Macaca fascicularis: one gene and its partners. The protein of the gene in region 3 purifies or fractionates together with the protein of the main gene of each other region. This does not show direct contact. Links are inferred from orthologs where the notes say so. Each region holds a gene or a part of one and is shown on either strand. Other genes may lie near its edges. The genes, in order: ACVRL1, TGFBR2 and ENG.

Region 1 (4,273 bases), on a different chromosome or scaffold from region 3:
ACAAACTTCTGAAAAAGTTCAACCCTAGTCAGCCATGGAAGGTCAAACATTCAGTGTCTAAGTGTGTTTCACTTCCCCTGCCACATCACTGGCCCTCCACCCACCCTTTCCTAGATGGCAAGGGGAGAGAAGGGGGCCAGGGAATGACTCTGAGAGGGCAGCTTATACTCTGGTGAGCTTGCAGAGAGGTTCCTCTACACCTGGCATGACCCGGCGCCATCCAAGCTTTGCGTGGTTGTTACAGCCTGAGGGCTCAGACATGGGCTGCCACCACTGGATAGGGACAGTGTGGGGAGAGCACTTGACTAGGAGTCTGGAAGCCTGGGTTGTACTCCTGCTGGTGCCAGTGAGTCCTGTCTGACCCGGGACAAGTCTTCTTCCCTGTATAAGCCTTAATCCTTTCTTCTGTAAAACAAGGAGCTGGATTTTGTGATCCACCTAGAATTCTGTCATGTGGGTGTCCCAGGCACAAGGAACTAAGGGTAGCAAGGAACTAAGGGCATATTTAAATAGCCTCTCCAGACCCTATGGCTGCTGCAGCCCACCCTGAAAATATGCCCTTAGATCCCTGCTGTGCGTGACTCCTGCCTGTTCTATCCAGACCCCAATCTAAACAATCTTGATTCCTGTTCCTGGCTTGGCAGGACCCTGAATGGCAGGAAGTGAAGACAGGAGCCTGTTTATGTTTGAGGCAGCCAGGGCTGGGGGGGCACTGGGAAAGGGTAGGCAGGGGTGAAGGCTGTGAGGGTGTGGGAAAGAGACACAGAACAGAAGGGGAGCTGCTGGAGAGATGCTCCTTCTACCCCAACTGGGTGCTCCCTGCGCCTCTCCCAACCTGCCTCCAGTCTGAGCTCAGCAGCAGGGGTGCAGAGCTAGGGTTTCCCCAAGCTCTCGGTCACTTAAACATGGCTCTCCACCCTTCACCTCTAACAGGATGGTTTCCATGGGGAAGTGAACCAGGACTTCCCTTGCAGGCCCCGCCCCAAAGCTAGGCGGCAGGGAGTAGGGAGGCGGCCTCCCTGCCTCCCCTCCAAAAAAAACTCTCTGTGATTTCCTCTGGGCGGGAGGGAGCCACAGCTGGCGGCTGTCACATTTTGCAGCTCTTACTCCACCTCTCTTGCTCCTCTCTGCAGGGACCATGACCTTGGGCTCCCCGAGGAGAGGCCTTCTGATGCTGCTGATGGCCTTGGTGACCCAGGGTGAGTACTGGGGGAGCAGTTAGGAAACAGGAACCTGGATAGAGAAAGGGCTATCTGGGCCCAGATCAGCTCTGCCTGGGGCTGAACTTGAGAAACTGGGGAGAATTTAGGAGCTTGACTGGAGAATAGAGGAGAGTGAGGCTCCATTAAACTCAGCCCCCAGTTACCCCAGCCCTCCTTTGCTCTCCTCTGGGTCCAGACCTGCAGGCTGGAGCTCTGTCAGGCTAGGGTGGAAGCCTATATGTGGGGCGGAGGGAGAGCAGGTGTTGGCAGGCCAAGCCTGGGAGCGCTCTCAGGACTGGGGCTGGGGGCGCAGCCCAGCCTAGAACTGGGAGGGGAGAACCTAGGAGCCAGGAGGGGACAGAAGCCTGCTTCTCAGTGTCAGCTGCCCTGAGGGGAGGGCTCTGAGGGAAGGATGACTGAGGATGGAAGTAAGGGACCAAAGCTTCAAGGTGTTTGTCTGGGGGGTCAGACGAGAGGGACAATGGGACAGAAATGGGTGTCAGGCTCAGCCTGGGGGAGCTGGGCCCAGAGTGGCTGAGCTTCCGGTGTGTCTCCCAGGTGACCCCGTGAAGCCCTCTCGGGGCCCGCTGGTGACCTGCACATGTGAGAGCCCACATTGCAGGGGGCCTACCTGCCAGGGGGCCTGGTGCACAGTAGTGCTGGTGCGGGAGGAGGGGAGGCACCCCCAGGAACATCGGGGCTGCGGGAACTTGCACAGGGAGCTCTGCAGGGGGCGCCCCACCGAGTTCGTCAACCACTACTGCTGTGACAGCCACCTCTGCAACCGCAACGTGTCCCTGGTGCTGGAGGGTACGTCCAGCTGCCCCAGCACTCCCTCCCCATCTTCTCGGCCCCTGCCCTCCCTTCCCTCCTTTCCTCTCATGCTCTGGCCAATAAAGGGGCTGGGGGCGGGGGGACGGGCAAGACTCTGGGATTTAACTGGCAGAATGGTCTGCCCAAGGTGGGGGAAGTTGACCTAGTGCAAGCTGAGCCTCAATGTCCCCTCCCCCAGCCACCCAAACTCCTTCGGAGCAGCCGGGAACAGACAGCCAGCTGGCCCTGATCCTGGGCCCCGTGCTGGCCTTGCTGGCCCTGGTGGCCCTGGGTGTCGTGGGCCTGTGGCATGTCCGACGGAGGCAGGAGAAGCAGCGGGGCCTGCACAGCGAGCTGGGAGAGTCCAGTCTCATCCTGAAAGCATCTGAGCAGGGCGACAGCATGTTGGGGGTACGGGCCTGGGGACCTGGGACACAGGGTGGAGTGGGGCAGATAGCAACTGCGGAATCAGAGGGGTCATCCAGAGAGTAGAGCCGGTGGGGAGCTGGGCGAGTGAGGAGCTTGCAGTGACCCAGCAGGTCCCAGGTTGAGGATGGAGAATGGGGCTGCGGCTGGTTAGGGCAGCTTTTGAGTGGCCTCTCCATACCCCCAGGACCTCCTGGACAGTGACTGCACCACAGGGAGTGGCTCGGGGCTCCCCTTCCTGGTGCAGAGGACAGTGGCACGGCAGGTTGCCTTGGTGGAGTGTGTGGGTGAGCAGTGGGTGAGCCCGGTGGATGAGGACCAAGGGCTCTCATGAGCCTTGAGGGGTGAGGGAGTTCTTGGCTTCCGGAATCACAGGCAGTGCCAGGCCTGGGTCAGAACTGGAATTCTGCTGGGCAGGGAGTGGGCTGGAGACGGGCCAGGGCTAGGTTCTTTCTGCAGGACCGGGGTGGAACGAGAGGCAGCTGGGGGTGGCCTGCCGCTGGGTTTGGGTCTGGATTAACTTAAACCTAAGGGTCAGGGGTTCTGTGGGTGGGGTGGGCGAGGGAGGCAGCACAGCATCAAGATGAGGGGCTCCTCCAGGGCTCTGTGTGCCCAGTGTGTAACCCTCACCTTCCCCTCTGGCCATCAGGAAAAGGCCGCTATGGCGAAGTGTGGCGGGGCTTGTGGCACGGTGAGAGTGTGGCCGTCAAGATCTTCTCCTCGAGGGACGAACAGTCCTGGTTCCGGGAGACTGAGATCTACAACACAGTGTTGCTCAGACACGACAACATCCTAGGCAAGGGGAGGGGCCGGCTGTGCCAGGCCTGGGGCTTTGCCCTCCTGCACTCAGGGCTCGAATTCACAGACCTCCAGACATTAACAGAACCCTGAAGGACTCCCAGCCCACCTGCAGCACCAACCTCTTTTTTTTTTTTTTTTTGAGACAGGGCCTCGCTCTGTCACCCAGGCTGGGATGCAGTTGTGCAATCTCACTGGAACCTCAATCTCTTGAGCTCAAGCGATCCTCCCACTTCAGCCTCTTGAGTAGCTGGGACCACAGGCATGTGCCACCATGCCCAGCTAACTTTTTTATTTTTTGTAGAGACGAGGTCTCCCTATGTTGCCCAGACTGGTCTCAAATTCCTGGGCTCAAGCAATCCTCCTGCCTTGGCCTCCCAAAGTGTTGGGGTTACAGGTGCAAGCCACTAAGCCAGGCCCAGACCCAACCTCTGACTCCAGCTCTGTCTCTGACCTAAGCCACATCAACCCCCACCCCAGACCTTGCTTAGCAGTGACCCAGCCCATTCCCTCTCCCCCGACCCCACCCTGACCCTGACCACTCCAGCCTCCCTTAGCCCCAGCCCCTTGGCTGAGTCACCCGACCCTTCTGTGCACAGGCTTCATCGCCTCAGACATGACCTCCCGCAACTCGAGCACGCAGCTGTGGCTCATCACGCATTACCACGAGCACGGCTCCCTCTACGACTTTCTGCAGAGACAGACGCTGGAGCCGCATTTGGCTCTGAGGCTAGCTGTGTCCGCAGCCTGTGGCCTGGCACACCTGCACGTGGAGATCTTCGGTACACAGGGCAAACCGGCCATTGCCCACCGTGACTTCAAGAGCCGCAACGTGCTGGTCAAGAGCAACCTGCAGTGTTGCATTGCTGACCTGGGTGAGCTGGGCAGGGCAGGGGCAGACCCTTCACAGGTGGGCACAGCCCGTGCTCTCTCCTCTCCTTTGCCTATGGGCGGTGACCATGATTGGCGCTTGAAAACAGAGGTGCATGTTGTCTCAGTTCTCCTCTGCAAGACCGCATGAGTTGTCTGAACAC
Region 2 (3,645 bases), on a different chromosome or scaffold from region 3:
AGCTCTTCCAGAGCCTCTGGTTTTCCACCTCTTAGCTACTTAGAGAACTAAAATCACAGAGAGAAAACAACTGTAACACTTGAGACCCAGTAAAGTCCTTAACTGCCTTCTCCACTCACTCCTGTTTTAACAGCCAGGCACAGCTAACTTTTCAAACCCTTTTTGGATACAGCTGAGCATAGGAAAGGTAAACACAAAGAAGTAAATACGGACTTTTTTTGTCCCACAACATTTACTCTTAGCCATTGAAGAGGTTATCAATTTCCACTGAAAGAAGAACCAACATGATAAAATTAATTTTGGAGGCTGAGCATGGTGGCTCATGCCTGTAATCGCAGTACTTTGGGAGGCCGAGGCAGGTGGATCACACAGTCAGGAGTTGGAGACCAGCCTGGCCAACACAGTGAAACCCCATCTCTACTAAAAATACAAAAAAATTAGCCGGGTGATAGTGGTGTGCGCCTGTAATCCCAGCTACTTGGGAAGCTGAGGCAGGAGAATCTCATGAACCCACAAGGCGGATGTTGCTGTGAGCCAAGATCACGCTATTATACTCCAGTCAGGGCAACAGTGGGAGACCCCCTCTCAATAATAATAATAATAATAATAACTTTGGTTATAAAATATTTCTATCCTTGGAAGAAGCTTAAGCATTTTACATGGAATGGGCACACAACTGACATTAGTTAAATGAATGAATGAATGAATGAATGAAAAAAACACTAACACTGATCAAAAAAAAAAAACCCCACTGAAATCTACAATCATAGTAGAGCCTTTCGGTTTCCACACTGGCTATTTTTACAGTAGCCTCCTGTCTTAGTTTAGGTTTCCTGGAAACAGACCTTGAGGCTGTGAGTTCTGAGCAGGAGGTTTTTGGAGATGCATCTGTAAGGGACTAAAGGCAGCAGTATTGCACAGAAGGAAAAAGCTAAGCCATAATGCAGGTTGCAGCAAAGGCCTCAGTGAATGCCTTGGAAGCTCTGAACGTGAGACGGTCCTTCAAAGATGTCCCACATTACGGCAAAATAACCAGGAATGTGTTTCTCTGCATCAACTAGCCATGGGATGCTGGATACCCATGAAAAGTGTCCAACGTGAATGAAGCAGCTCCCATCACTGGAGGGAAGACTCAGCAGTGAACCTTCAACAGCCAACACTCCCAGGGAGTGAGTGCCTTGGTCATGAAGGAGGATCAAGGAGGGCACTATAGCATCCCCTACACTTCCCCTTCTCATTAGCAACAGCCCTGGCTTCACAGGAGAACTTTCTTTGGCCAAGACAGGTCAAAATAATGTTCACTGTATTTATCCTTTGTAGCTGGGACACAGAAAAAACAGGGAGGCCTCCTCTCTTCGACATGCTCACATTTTTTTGAGGCTAGCAAAGCCTCTATTGTAGAGAGACTTGATTCACATTCAATGATTTGGGCTTGTATTACTGGTCAGAAAAACAAAAATCTTAATTAAAAGAGCCTTTTTGGGTGGCAGAAGTAAGCGCTCACACCACCGTAGATATTTGAGAAACCACGGAAGGAAGCTTTGAGGCCATCTAGTCTGGTGTCTCAATCTTTCCTGCAATCTATTTGACACATGGTCATCTAGCCCCTCCTGAACTTCACTTGGTGCTTACAGAAAAGGAAGCCTGTTCTGCTGTTGGGAAACCATGATTGTGAAAATGTCTGAACTTATGCTGAGCGCAAGTCTGCCCTCTTGCCAATGTTACGGATCCTCCCTCTACCCTTCAGAGTTATGCAGAATATGTTTATTAGATTTTCTACCTGGGAGCCTTTCAATTTCATCAGCAGAACCCATGATCTCCCTTCACTGCACTAACCACGTCTAATTGCCCAGGCCATTCCTCAGACAGCATGATATCTAGGCCTCTAACCACACTGGTCCCTCTCCTCTGAACACACTCTTTGTCCAAATCCTTTCTCTGACAGCGTTACCTAGAAGTGGACATGGACAGGTATCACATCATATTGGCAAGTACGTCATGACAGGTCTTTGCTGTTAACATTCCTTCAGTTTTTCTTAAGAAACCAGTTCATCCCCTGGTATGTACAGAAATTGGTAAAGTTTCCAGATCTATCATCAGGCTAGCTTTACAAGGTCTGGGGGTCTCAAATGACTTATTCCCAAAAAAGGGGGAGAGATATTTGGGTTTACATTCTTGTTTGTCAACTAGTCAGGAGCCACATAAGTTACTTTTTAAAAAATGGCCAATAAATTAAAAACATCAGAATAAGTCTGCAAAATGTCATATCTCATTAATGAATTTATGTAGTTTTGCAAAATTGCAACTCTTCTAAAGATCAAGGTTGTTTATTTCTTGTTCATGCTCACAATCTATAATCATGAATTAATCAGATGATTCATGAGTATCCACTGTGTATGTATAATTACTATTTGAGATGTGTATATGAGTTGGAGGTAATGAGAGAGAGAGAGAGAGAGAGTAGAAAATGTGATCCAATAAAAATATATAGTTCTGGTCGGGCAAGGTGGCTCATGCCTGTAATCCCAGCACTTTGGGAGGCAGAGGCGAGCGGATCACCTGAGGTTGGGAGTTCGAGACCAGCCTGGCCAACATGGTGAAACCTCGTCTCTACCAAAAATACAAAAATTAGCCAGGCGTGGTAGCGGGCACCTGTAATCCCAGCTACTTGAGAGGCTGAGGCAGAAGAATCACTTGAACCTGGGAGGTGGAGGTTGTGGTGAGCCAAGAATGTGCCACTGCACTCCAGCCTGGGTGATAGAGCAAGACTCCATCTCAAAAAAAAAAAAAAAAAAAAAGAAGAAATATGTAGTTCTGAGCCGAGAAATAAGTCATACCTAGCCCAATGGTTATATGAATGATATAACCAGGATTTCTGACTAAAAAAATAGGTTGTTTTTCTGGTTCTCCAAGTAGATTCCCCATTTTTGGCAGGTGGTTGTCTTTTCCAACAGCCAACCTTTCATCACGTCTTCTTCCAGACCTGAGATTGCCTCACGAGAACAAAGCTCCTGGTCTCACTGTGGGGTAGTGAGGAGGTGTCGGTTAAATGCCTACTAAGTGGCAAATCCCTCTTCTTGATACAAGAAAGAGTTTCCAGATTTACTATATTAAAGATCGTTTTATATACCATGACATACCCATATAAACGTACACGTACATGCAGAGAACACCCTAGAAACTACATTTAATAATCGAAAGAGAGATGGTCTAAAGGAAAGGGAAATGGAACAGGTGTTTACACTTAGGGGACAGAGATACACTGACTGTGTGTACTACGAGAATACATTATGTAAAAAGGGGAAAAGAAAGAATAACTTCTTCAAAGGCTCTCTTACCATACAGCCACACAGACTTCCTGTGGCTTTTCACAGATGGAGGTGATGCTGCAGTTGCTCAGGCAGGATTTCTGGTTGTCACAGGTGGAAAATCTCACATCACAAAATTTACACAGTTGTGGAAACTTGACTGCACCATTGTTGTCAGTGACCATCATGTCATTGTTAACTGAGGAGAGAGAAAGATATATTAAATCATTATCCAACTGCCAGGCAGCCTGCCAATGAATTCCTGAAGATGTTACGCAATTTCAAATGAATTTGATGTCATGGAATGAATCTGAAGAAAGGCAAAATAATTCCTTCA
Region 3 (3,380 bases):
AGGGCCTGGGGGTGACTCTGGGGGTATCCAGGACAGATTGCCTGAGAGTGGGGGTCACCAGATGGTGAAGTGTTGTGACTGGCAAATACAGAAAGCCAGGAGTGTGTGTCCTTTGTCTGCCTCTTCCCTCGGGTCTCCTGTTCTTTGACATTACACTGGTGACCATACTACATGGATGTGTGGGTGGCTAGATTCCTGGGTGGGATGGTGGGATGGTGGGAAGATGGTGGATGCCTGGCTGGGATGGCAGGTGGGTGGGAGGGTGGATGGATGGATGGACGGACGGGTGAATAAGTGGAAGGATAGATGATGGATAGATGGACAGTTGCAGCTGCATAGTCTGGCAGCTGCATAGTCTGGCAGCTGCATAGTCTGCCAGTGCCCAAGACATGGCAATCCCACCAGAAAGCTCTCGGGTGGCAGAAAGTGCTGCTGGCAGCCAGACTGCCAGGTGACATGCCTGACTAAGGCTCTGCCCCTCACCAGCTGGCCCCACATCCCTGTGGGCTGCCATGTCCTTTCCTGCAAACCACAGACCTAGAAGCTCCCACTTGAAGCTGGGGCCGGCCCAGGCTCCACTCACCTGGTCTTGGGACCCGGTCTTGGGACGCAGGGCTATAGTGCAGCTGAGGGTGCCGGTTTTGGGTATGGGTACTGTGTAGAAGTGGAGGAGGAAGCTGAAGCGCGGGTTACCCTCGGGGCTTGGGGACAGCAGGCTCACACAGTTGCCCTTGGCCGCCCGGCCCTGGATGAGTTCCATGGTGCCTCCCTCAGGCCCCAAGTCCAGGTGGCAGCTGTCTAGCTGGAGCAGGAACTCGGGGATGGATGGGGACACTCTGACCTGCATGGGTAGGTAGGGCCACGAGGCATGGGCAGCTGCTCTTCACCCCACCCCACCTGCTGCCTTGAAATATCGGCTAGAATGAAGAGTTCCCACCCCTGAGTCCTCACGGTGGAAGGAAAGGCATGGACCTGTGTGGGTCAGAGGAGGAGGACAGGGCCACATCCTTGTCAGCATCCCTGAGCAATGCCTTCTCTGTCTCCCTCTCCCACGCACCCAGGCCGTCTCCCTCCTGACTCTGGGATTCTCATCTCCTCTGGAGTCATGGTGGGAAGAAAGGCAGAGAGGAAGTTGCAGGAGCTGGGAGGCCCGAGGGGTGACAGGCATGCCAGGTACCTGCACAAAGCTCTGCTGCCCCGGCTCGATGGTGTTGGAGGCCTGGAGGAAGTGTGGGCTGAGGTAGAGGCCCAGCTGGAAAGAGAGGCTGTCCATGTTGAGGCAGTGCACCTTTTTCTGGGGGAGGACGGGAGGGAGACTTGGTCAGTCCGGCGGCACCAGCCAGGAGGGCGAGGGGTGTGGGGAGGAACAGACGTCATGGCCCTGTGGAGTTGCCTGACTCATCTTTTTTTTTTTTTTTTTTTGAGACAGAGTCTCACTCTGTGGTCCAGGCTGGAGTGCAGTGGCCGGATCTCAGCTCACTGCAAGCTCCGCCTCCCAGGTTCATGCCATTCTCCTGCCTCAGCCTCCCAAGTAGCTGGGACTACAGGCGCCCACCACCTCGCCTGGCTAGTTTTTTGTATTTTTTAGTAGAGACAGGGTTTCACCGTGTTAGCCTGGCTGGTTTCGATCTCCTGACCTCGTGATCCACCCATTTCGGCCTCCCAAAGTGCTGGGATTACAGGCTTGAGCCACCACGCCCGGCCCTTTTTTTTTTTTTTTTTAACTAATATTTATCAAGGAGGCAGCAGTTGCCAGGCTGTGTGAAGAGCTTCCACACGGCACCTCACTGGCTGCCCAGAGGCACCCTTTGGCGCAGAGTCCTTTCTTAGGCCACCTTTGGGCCCAGAAAACTAAAGTGACTTGCCCAAGGCCACACAGCCAGTATGTGCTAAGACCTCTGACTTGAGAGACTGAGAGCGTCACCCTCAGCAGTCCTGCTCCGCTCATATAGAACGGGAGACCGATGCCAGACACATGGCTTGCCAGGAGTTTCCTGAAGCCTACTCCCTCCCAAGCCAGGAAGAGGCCCCGGCCCAGCAGCAGCCCCTGGGCCAGGTGGGTTAGCACGTGACTGTCCATCTTACCCGCTGTGGTGATGAGCTCGACAGGATATTGACCACCACCTGCGAGGACAAAGCCAGGGAGCTGGTCAGAGCCAGAAAGGACCCCAGAGGGTATCCCACCCAATACACCCATTTTGCAGATGGGGAGACTGAGCCAACCAGTGGCCAAGCTTGTCTTATGTTCTGAGCCTCTGCACCCTGCTCTCCCAAACACACCTCCGCCCTGGGGGATCAGGGAGGCACTTGAGGGGGCACCAACCAGGCTGGTCCTGATACCTTTCTGGCCCCAGCTCTTACCTCATTGCTGATCATATTCGCCGTCACTTCCATGCCACAGCTGGAGTAAGCGCTGTGCAGGACAAACTGGTCACCCCTGTCCTCGGCCTGACAGCTGGGGTCCCAGAGGGTCAGGCCCATGATGGTGCACTTCAAATGCTGGGTTGGGAGAGAGGGGCACCGTCAGGAGGCACTGGGGTCTCTGTGGCCTGCCACACCCCAGCACCAAGGACTGACCACAACCCAGGGCTCCCAAGTCACAGCCATTCCCCTGCCCTGCTCCCTCTTCATTTTTGTTAGATGTCATCATCCTACACCACTTAAAATTTCTTTTTTTTTTTTTTTTTGAGACGGAGTCTCACTCTTGTTGCCCAGGCTGGAGTGCAGTGGCTTGATCTTGGCTCACTGCAACCTCCACCTCCTGGGTTCAAGCGATTCTCTTGCCTTGGCCTCCTGAGTTGCTGGGATTACAGGCGCGTGCCACCATGCCCAGCTAATTTTTTGTATTTTTAGTAGATAGGATTTCACCATGTTGGCCAGGCTGGTCTCAAACTCCTGACCTCAGGTGATCCACCTGCCTCAACTTCCCAGTGCAGGGATTACAGGCGTGAGCCACCGTACCCGGCCATTTTTTGTATTTTTAGTAGAGACGAGGTTTCACCATGCTGGCTAGGCTGGTCTTGAACTCCGGACCTCAGGCAATCCACCCACCTTGGCCTCCCAAAGTGCTGGGATTACAGATGTGAGCCACCATGCCTGGCCCACTTAAGACTTCTTGAACTTGCACACTTTTGCACTAAGCCTTGTCCTAAGCAATAATAGCTGTTGGATCACAAATTTTCTTCTTCTTCTTCTTCTTCTTTTTTTTTTTTTTAAGACGGAGTCTTGCCCTGTCGCCCAGGCTGGAGTGCAGTGGCGCGATCTCGGCTCACTGCAAGCTCTGCCTCCCGGGGTCACGCCATTCTCCTGTCTCAGCCTCCCGAGTAGCTGGGACTACAGGCGCCCGCCACCACGCCCGGCTAATTTTTTGTATTTTTAGT

What was found.
Region 1: the proteins of ENG (region 3) and ACVRL1 purify together in Homo sapiens (affinity purification with western blotting; 3 studies listed by BioGRID and IntAct, with this or other methods). This does not show direct contact. The link is inferred for Macaca fascicularis from reciprocal best matches to the Homo sapiens genes ENG and ACVRL1.
Region 2: the proteins of ENG (region 3) and TGFBR2 purify together in Homo sapiens (affinity purification with western blotting; 3 studies listed by BioGRID). This does not show direct contact. The link is inferred for Macaca fascicularis from reciprocal best matches to the Homo sapiens genes ENG and TGFBR2.

The regions. Positions count from the first base shown.
Region 1 is NC_088385.1:58,748,185-58,752,457, forward strand, and holds the start of ACVRL1 (activin receptor type-1-like), read left to right. Parts: upstream 1-1,429; 5' UTR 1,430-1,624; coding exon 1,625-2,012; intron 2,013-2,214; coding exon 2,215-2,426; intron 2,427-2,628; coding exon 2,629-2,728; intron 2,729-3,090; coding exon 3,091-3,237; intron 3,238-3,838; coding exon 3,839-4,114; intron 4,115-4,273. UniProt on the Homo sapiens protein: Type I receptor for TGF-beta family ligands BMP9/GDF2 and BMP10 and important regulator of normal blood vessel development. On ligand binding, forms a receptor complex consisting of two type II and two type I transmembrane serine/threonine kinases.
Region 2 is NC_088376.1:17,786,297-17,789,941, forward strand, and holds part of TGFBR2 (TGF-beta receptor type-2), read right to left. Parts: intron 3,508-3,645; coding exon 3,339-3,507; intron 1-3,338. UniProt on the Homo sapiens protein: Transmembrane serine/threonine kinase forming with the TGF-beta type I serine/threonine kinase receptor, TGFBR1, the non-promiscuous receptor for the TGF-beta cytokines TGFB1, TGFB2 and TGFB3.
Region 3 is NC_088389.1:16,176,998-16,180,377, reverse strand, and holds part of ENG (endoglin), read right to left. Parts: intron 2,500-3,380; coding exon 2,362-2,499; intron 2,125-2,361; coding exon 2,086-2,124; intron 1,295-2,085; coding exon 1,178-1,294; intron 842-1,177; coding exon 584-841; intron 1-583. UniProt on the Homo sapiens protein: Vascular endothelium glycoprotein that plays an important role in the regulation of angiogenesis. Required for normal structure and integrity of adult vasculature. Regulates the migration of vascular endothelial cells.